Linked DNA regions of Mus musculus: region 1 is reported to be linked to region 2. The links are microRNA targets in miRTarBase. Many come from high-throughput screens and were not tested one by one. Region 2 holds a microRNA gene; the other region holds the end of a gene's coding sequence.

Region 1 (4,511 bases), not on the chromosome of region 2:
GAGATCATAGCAAACATTTAACATGAGATTAGGTCAGCGTATTCACAGCTGCTTTTTTATTTAATGTAGCTATAATCTGTCTGATTTATTTTTTAGGTGCTGAGGGTCTAAATGGCGGAGAGGAGTCCTTAAACATGAATGATGCAGATGAAGGATTTTCATCAGGGGCTTCTCTTAGCAGCCAACCACATGGGACCAAACCACCCTCCTCTTCTCAGCGGGGAAGCTTGCGGAAAGTAGCAACTGGGCGTTCCGCCAAAGACAAAGAAACAGCATTAGCCATCAAATCCAATGAGAGCCCTCGAGATTCAGTAGTTGGAAAGCAGTTTGTACAACAACAAGCAGATCTCAGCATAGATTCAGTTGAGCTGACACCGATGAAGAAACACTTGAGCCTGCCTGCAGGCCAGGTGGTGCCAAAAACCAATAGTCTGAGTCTAATCCGGACAGCCAGTGCTTCCTCAAGTAAATCTTTTGACTATGTAAATGGCGGTCAAGCAAGTACCAGCATTGGGGTTGGCACTGAGGGAGTTACTAATCTAGCAGCTACAAATGCTAATCGATATTCAACTATCAGTCTACAAGAAGACCGGCTAGGTCACGCTGGTGAAGGTAAAGAGCTCCTCAGCCCAGGAGCCCCCTTAACCAAGCAGTCTCGATCCCCAAGTTTCAATATGCAGCTAATATCCCAGGTGTAGTTCTGATGCCCCTTGTTCTGCTAACCTTCTACACTGAACATTTCATTGTGCAAGACACGTCATCCCGCATTGTGAAAAGATGTCACTGTCATCAGATTTGACTTAGCTTAGGTATCTCATACTGTATTTTGTATGGAAACAGCAATAAGGTTTTCCTTTCCTTTCTTTTAACCTCTCTACCTATTCCCTTAAATGTGTTTGTGAAGCAGTGTAAAACGTTTGCCTTTTCCATGCCTTCCTTTCTCCTTGGGTGATGTGCAATCCATCGTAGGCTGATCGGTCCCATTTCAACACTGTGAGACTGAGGAGATGTCGAGGAAATGGTGTATAAGATCCCTATGAAATGATTCTTTGGCTTTTGTTTAAAAACAAAACGGGTTTGTTCACATAATCTATGAACTATGAAGATAACTGGATCATATGTTTTCTCTCTAACCAGGAGTGCCTCAGAGATTCTGCTATGACTTTGGGCTTCTCTGAGCCTGTGCAATTTTATATTCTTGGGAAGCATGGGGGAAAGTGGTAGACTACTGCAATTTTTTTATTAAAATGAGGCTAACTGCCCCCCTTACTTTATCCCAAGGACACAAATGTTTAATTATTGAGGCATTTAAATCAATTTGTGACCACCTCCATTGGAGGGTAGGGCTCTAAGTTGATTGTGTGATTGATAATGCACTTTCTCAATGGCTCTCTAGTCATTAACAACAGGTCTTCCCTCCTCCCACAAGGACTTAAGGACATTTCTGCCCTTAAAGTTTGAACTAACAAATCAGAGACTCAAAGGGGCGTGTTCTATTTCCCAGGAATGATTGATATTATGGTGCTGGGGCTTTGTTGGGGGAAGGGTGTTGTTTGTTTAGTTTGTGTGAGATTGTAAATGAGGTGAAGTTATAATTGTTTTCTTTCTTCCTTTCCTTTGTGAGTTGGTGATGACTGAAGTAGACACTGTACGTCTTCAGGTAAAGAGAGGGATTTCTCAGTCCACTCTCTGAGATATCAGACTAGAGAAACCCTTTCAGCTGCTTCCTAGATGTACCTAGATTCAGTCAGATATGGGATACAGAAACCTAAAGTCCTGAGATCATATACTCCAAGGAAACACATCAGGGACAGGTGATTGGTTGAAAACACTGATGCTTCTATGTGACACATTTGTATAGAACATTTCTACCAGAGGGTACTGACTTGATTGCTCTACAAGGACCACACTGCCTTTGTGTTTATTGCAGTTTGTGTATCTTCTGATTATCTGCAAAGTTTCTCGTTTTTATAAAACGTTGAAATCATGCCAGTAAACTAGATGTTGAATGTAAATGAGTAGCATTTGGTAACTGCTAAGAGGCTACAAAAATGCATTATTAGTTTAAAGGATTTTTGTTGTGATTTGGTTGGATAAGACTTTCTTATAATCTCTTCTGGGTCTCAGGCTTTGTTTGAAAAAGAAGGGAATATATTAGGATTTTAAAAATCAGTATTGTGTGACTTCAATTGCTATGAATTACCCATCTCAAGAACATCAGTTACACACACCCTTGTACATGTAGACATTTTATGTATTGTGAATGAAAATTACACTGCCTATATAGGAAGCAAGTGTCCTCTTAATTGACAAAGTTGTTTTATCTCTATTTACCGTAAAATTTGATAAATTAAATAGCCAGGAAAACGCCTCTCTTTTTTTTTTCATACATAAACCACCATTTTTGGAGGAGTTGTCTATCTGTCCATCTGTCTGTCTGCATTGTGTTAGAATAATCCTTAATTAGATTTGATAGTTTATAACATTTTTCAGCTCCCAGCAAATAGGGAACTAGAACCTCAGCTATTATCCACATCATTGCCAAACTTTGGAGTAAAACTAAAAGCTGAAATGTGATCTATTGATTGTTTATAATATGCGTATGATATGTGTATCCATTTATCACAGACACATTTTAGCCCTATTTCTACTAATTTAACTAAGAGATATCAAGTAAACTTAAAAGAAAAAAGAATTGTAAAATAGTAAAATAAAATGTTTTTGTAACCTACTGAACAGAGAGGCTTTGTGGTGCATAAGGAAGGTATCAGTCTTAGATGGCAAAGCACGCCTACTTCATGCTGGAGCTCACAGGCGCACATGTAACAGACTGGCATTTAAACCAAGCATTTTAAATAAAGCACAAGAGAATACCAAATAACTTGAAAGTATAGCATAAACTGTTGTAAATATGAGAAAAAATCTTTTGATTAGAAACATCATAACTGAAGAGTTGGTTTAAGAATCAGGAATGGTGGCATACACCTTGAATCCCAGCACTCCAGAGGCAGAAGCAGGTGAATCTCTGAGTTCAAGGCTGGCCTGGTCTACAGATGGAGTTCTAGGACAGCCAGGGCTACACAGAGAAGGCCTGTCTCAGAAAAGAAAAAAAAAAAAAAAAAAAGGTTTTTTTCATCTTTTTGTTGGCATGTGTAGACTTTGTATATACATCCCAAGTAATATTTCACAATCCTGAAACATTTGCTTCATATTCTTTGGGCTATAATTTGGTCTCAATGAACAAGTTCTTCATTTACACTTTATAGCAAGGGTCTTAGAATACATTTTCTGTGTAAGATAACAGTTAAAATGAAATGAATTAAAATTAGACAAACTACCAAGTTTTCTAATGATCATTTCAACCACTTTATGTTACCATCATTGAATTTAAAATGGTTTTTGTTCAGTTATACAGCAGCTGTTAAAAATGTCATAGAAAGTTAGAAATGTCCATAATTTAACCTTTAATAACTTCCCTTTAATATTTCTCAGCTTTCATGAAGCTTCATCGCACTAGTAGAAAAAAAGCATTTAGGGGAAAATATTTGTCTTATATTGATGCCATCTGTACTAGGTTAGATTAAGGACTACAGTATCTGAAGGTTTTAGGAGTTTTTCTATATGACTTTCAGTTAGTTTTACTGGTAAGAAAGCTAAAATATAAAGTAAAAAGTTAACTTACAAGCTAGGGAGGGAAGAGTTGTCATTTAAAATCTTGGTCCTTTGCCAATGCCCCTTTTTTCGCAGCCCACTGTGCTGTGCCTGTTTGTTGCAGATCAGGTTTCTGTGCTAGAAGAGACCCTAGAGATAATTTGGCTCTTCTCTCTGCCATACACACACATTGCATCCTCAGGACACTGAGGCTCAAAGGAGGATGTGAAATAAGGCCCATGACTAAGAAGCAGGGCCATAATCAAACCTTGTCTCTAGTCACGTGCATATTGATGCCTCATTGCCTCTGGTTATCCATACTTTAGTAAATGTGATATGAAACACTTCCATTTCTGCTATTTCTTTATGTTTCTGGTCTAGTAGCTGGTGAACACATTAAGAAAAGTATTAATTCCAGAAGGAAAAAAAAAGTAAAATAATTAATACAGATGGGGATGTGTTCAAAATGTAGGTGTCTGTATAGCACATTATTCTTTTCTAATTTATGCCTTGTGAATTTTCTACCACATAACAGTTATATGCTGCCATGTTATTTGTATTTTGGGGGATTTGTTTAGATGCAAAATAAACCCAATGAAATTTCCTTGATCAGTGTTTCTAACTATTTGAAAGTGATCTTTAATCAGCCAGTTTTCAGTCATCAAAGGTACACTGTAGAAGATTGCAGAGTAAAGATAAACTCAATTCCATTCATTTTTCATCTAGAGAGAAATTGTTCCTTACTCGGCTTAGAGTAGATAAGAGCAATATTCCTCTACGTTACTGAAAAAGAAGAATAGTGAGTGTGAAACTTTGAATCCATGCACAGTGGTCTCTGGGTCATTTATCACATATAGACC
Region 2 (4,000 bases):
CTGGGACAACTGAGGTCCTAGAGACCCCAGGGTTTCCACCAGGCATTTAGACAGATTAGGTTCAGGGTGTAAGTCTTGGGGGCACAGTGCCCGGTGAGACTCTTCCATGAGCTGGGCACCAAGCAGACTTAGTCCCCGAGGGCTGCCATCTTCCCTTGGGCGTCCCAGCAGCCCTGACCCCGGCCTTCTGGGCTATCAGCGTGGGAGCAGAATTCAGAGAATCCGAGGGGGCATGAGTGGGTGCAGTGAGCCCTGGCCCTTTCCTCTGCCCACGCTGACCCTTCTTCTCCTCTGACTTCACTCTGCCTGTCTCACAGGGAGAATGGAGCCAGTGTGTCCCGTACAGGGCTGTGCCAAGCAGCCCCCAACAAAGGCGGCTTTGCTGTGGTGGGGGTTTGAATGCCAGCCTGTGGCAGGGGTAGGGGGTTGGTTGCTCTGCTGTCCTCCCAGGCCTCGGCACCAGCTTCCTGCCTCATCCAAACGCCTTTCCAGGCCCTGCTGTTTGGGCTTGGCTTCTCCCTGTGGCTCTGCTCTGGGCATCCCCAGGCTTTGCCTGGATGGAGACTTGAGGTCCATAGCTCTGCTGACAGCAGCCACCCCAGAGCCTAAGAGACACTGGCCCTCGATGACAGCGCTCAAACCTGGCCTCCACTTTATTGAAGCTTCTTTGGCTGGGGAGCTTGGGAAAGCTCTCTGGGCTCTGGAGAGCGTGGTCGGGAAGATGGAGAGGGAGCGGTGGCTAAGCTGTGTCTGGATTTCTGTTCCACTCTAGTGCAACTTCTCAAGTCCACGGACCTGGGCCGGCACAGCCTCCTGTACTTAAAGGAGATTGGCCACGGCTGGTTTGGGAAGGTAAGCATGCCCCGGGGTGGCAGGAATGGCAAAGGGTGGACCCACTACTCCTGGGGATCCCCTAGGGAGGGGCTCTTTCTAACACCCGCCCCAGACTGGACCATGTACCTGATTCCTTTTTCCTCATTGTAGTCCCCAGGCAGTGAGAAAAGTAGGAGCCTTGTGGGTGGACTGGGGCTGAGGGTTCTAGCCAGAGCTTGGTGAGAAGTTGTATGACCATCTGAGGCCCTGGGCGCTAGATGGCTTTTCCTATGGAGACTGAAAGGGGACCTGGTGATGCCTGTCACATTTGGCAGGTGTTTTTGGGGGAGGTACACTCGGGCGTCAGTGGCACGCAGGTGGTGGTGAAGGAGCTGAAGGTGAGCGCCAGCGTGCAGGAGCAGATGCAGTTCCTGGAGGAGGCGCAGCCCTACAGGTGGGTGGTGTGGCGGGGGCGGGGTGGGGCCGGGCAGGGGAGCAGCACAGTGGGAGAAACTGAGGGCTATGGGACACCCTCTCCTGCCCTCCAACTTAAACACCCGTGGACTCTTCCAGGGCCCTGCAGCACAGCAACCTGCTCCAGTGCCTGGCCCAGTGTGCTGAAGTGACCCCCTACCTGCTGGTTATGGAGTTCTGTCCACTGGTAAGTGGTCCTCTCGGGGAGGTAGCTCTGTCTCTCCCGGTCCTGTTCTGTAGCTCATTGTTCCAAAGGGGAGTGGCTCCTCTCTTGCTCAGCCTCTTGGGGTCTTTTGTTATTTCTAAAGTAGAGTCCTGGTAGTCCTTGCTCTCCCTCAGAGGAGGTCTGCGGAGAGAAAGTGAGCCAGCAGCAGCAGGGGCAACACTGTGGGGTCTTGGATAGTTCAGCGAGAGGTGTCCTGGGACAGCCACAGGGCTCCCGAAGCTCCTGGGGCAGAGCCTGAGTTCTGGGTCTTCGTGTTGCCCCTTGGGCCCTTTACATGCACAGCTCTGGTGGCTGCTTATATGGAGGTCACTGTGCCAGAATTGAGACACAGGCTTTGCTGAAACAGCAGTGAACACTAGGGTTCACAGCTGATCCACAGGCCACCAGACCCAGGTTCTCTTGGTGTGGGTGGCAGACTTGTGATGGGCTGGTCGCTGCAGCTAGCAGGTGACTGTGTGCTCTCTCGTCCATCAGGGGGACCTCAAAGGTTATCTACGGAGCTGCCGGGTGACAGAGTCCATGGCGCCTGACCCACTTACCTTGCAGCGCATGGCGTGCGAGGTGGCGTGTGGCGTCTTGCATCTACATCGACACAACTATGTACACAGGTGAGGGCTAGCGAGACTAGCCAGGCTACAGCTACAAAGCCCCACTCCCCCAGGGCCTTAACCCTCACCATCACACGACCCTGTGCAGAAAAGTCACGGTGATCCCACGTTGTGGGCCTCATGAACTGGGTTCATCTAAAAATAGCCACTCTGCAGGGAACTTTATCATTCTTAGAACTGGGAAAACTAACTGGGCATGGTGGCTCACGCCTTTAATTGCAGCGCTTGGGAGGCAGAGGTAGGAGAATCTCTGTGAGTTCAAGTCCTGCTAGGTCTACCTAATGAACTCCAGAATAGCCAGGACTATGTAGCAGGACCATCTCAAAATGAAATAAATTGTGAAGACTTGGCATTTGAAACTCACCTTGCAGACAGTTAAATGAAGAAACCCATCCTGTCTACTAGAGCAGTCAGCCATACTTGGGCTCCATACCAACCCCAGCCTCTTTCCCTCAGGCCACAAAGGGAGTGGCTGGGCTGGCCCTGTAGTGGGAGGGGTGGCTCTCTCCTGCCTCTGGTGGCCAGGATGCCCAGCCTCCCATGAGCTGGGGGCACATGCTGGAAGAAGTGGCAACGGACAAGCGGCCCACCAGCTCCAACGCTGCACAGGCCGTCCTCCCCAACAATATCCTGGTGCTGAGTGGGTGCACAGTGACTCCAGCATCAGTGATTTTGTTGAAGAGGGCAGCTGCCAGCCTCCTGCCCTGCCTGCTGCCTAGCCCAGCTGCCCCACCCATAGGCATGGACCCAGGTCACCCCACCCTGTCCCCTGACACAGTCCTCCTGGGGTAGAGGCAGGCCAAGGTGGCCCCATCTACATCCAGAGATCTCTCAGCAGAACAGCCAGTATGGCAGATGAGGGTGCGTCCCGTGGCACTCTATTGTCCTGTACCCCAAACACCTGGGGGTGGGGCGCTATAGCCAAGCAAGAGTTATACAGAGCCTGGCATTCCAGGCTTCCCACTGAGTTGGTGATTTTTATCCTCCACACAAAGGGGCCTTTGTGGTCCATACTGTTCTAGACCTCGGCTCCAGCTTGTGTAGCAGGCCAGGCAGGGCTGCACTCTAGAACATGGGCTCTGACTGCTGGCAGGACCCTCTGAGACACTCCGGGCTTCGGTTTCTCCATCAGTTCTTACCTCCTGGGGACTGGGATGGTGGAGTGTAGTCGGAAGGGTGAGGGTCCTGAGAGGACACTGCAGACTCTCTGCTCCATGGCTTGTTGGCCCTTGTTGGGCAGATCAGACAGAGGGTGGAGCGGGTTAGGGCTCTGGTGCAGTTAGACAGCACTTTGCTGGGGGGGGGGGGTCGTCCTTGAGCATCTTTTGCCTGATTTTCACATGCATTGAAGTGCATTGAAAACCGGGCTTGGTGGCGCAAGCCTTTAATCCCAGCACTTGGGAGGCAGAGTCAGGAGGATTTCTGAGTTCGAGGCCAGCCTGGTCTACAAAATGAGTTCCAGGACAGCCAGGGCTACACAGAGAAACCCTGTCTGGAAAAAAAAGAAAAAAAAGAAGAAGAAGAAGTATTAGAAATGCATTGAAGTCCACACAGGTCTTCCAAAATAGCCAGTACAGGGTGTGGAGCCAGAACTTGGGCACAAGTGGGTGGCCCCTCAGACACCCCTTCCTGTCGGTCTGCCTGGCTGTGCCCGGGAGCCCAACCATTCCACCAGGGCTCACTCAGGCTGGCACACTCTGCTGACATTGCCTTCCACTCCGCAGTGACCTGGCCCTGAGGAACTGCCTGCTTACGGCTGACCTGACAGTGAAGGTTGGTGATTATGGCCTGTCGCATTGCAAATACAGGGTGAGTAAGGCCGTCAGGGCCCGTGTGCAGGGGCAGCTGCTGAGCGGAGCTCACTCCCATCCTGTCCCTG

The links. Region 2 holds the annotated microRNA mmu-miR-3065-5p (UCAACAAAAUCACUGAUGCUGG, at 2,779-2,800, opposite strand). A microRNA usually pairs through its seed, bases 2 to 8, with sites in the 3' UTR of a target mRNA and lowers its output. Matches are read on the target gene's strand: a 7mer-m8 pairs with bases 2 to 8, a 7mer-A1 pairs with bases 2 to 7 and ends in A, and an 8mer does both.
Region 1: the mRNA of Fam126b is a reported target of mmu-miR-3065-5p. Seed matches in the 3' UTR shown: 7mer-m8 at 1,532-1,538, 7mer-m8 at 2,075-2,081, 7mer-m8 at 3,140-3,146 and 7mer-m8 at 3,766-3,772.

What each region holds. Positions count from the first base shown.
Region 1 is chr1:58,525,845-58,530,355 of GRCm38, reverse strand. It overlaps Fam126b (family with sequence similarity 126, member B), which reads left to right. Exons shown (of 13, transcript NM_001310598.1): 13 at 97-4,511. The coding sequence ends at 698. All of the region lies in intron 2 of Gm15834 (a long non-coding RNA gene), which reads right to left. Among named protein-coding and RNA genes, the nearest start is that of Gm15834, 23 kb to the right of the region's middle.
Region 2 is chr11:120,013,580-120,017,579 of GRCm38, reverse strand. It overlaps Mir3065 (microRNA 3065), which reads right to left and starts at 2,813; the gene lies at 2,727-2,813. Aatk (apoptosis-associated tyrosine kinase) reads left to right here. Exons shown (of 14, transcript NM_001198785.1): 4 at 773-852; 5 at 1,149-1,267; 6 at 1,387-1,474; 7 at 1,988-2,121; 8 at 3,846-3,930. It overlaps Mir338 (microRNA 338), which reads left to right and starts at 2,718; the gene lies at 2,718-2,815.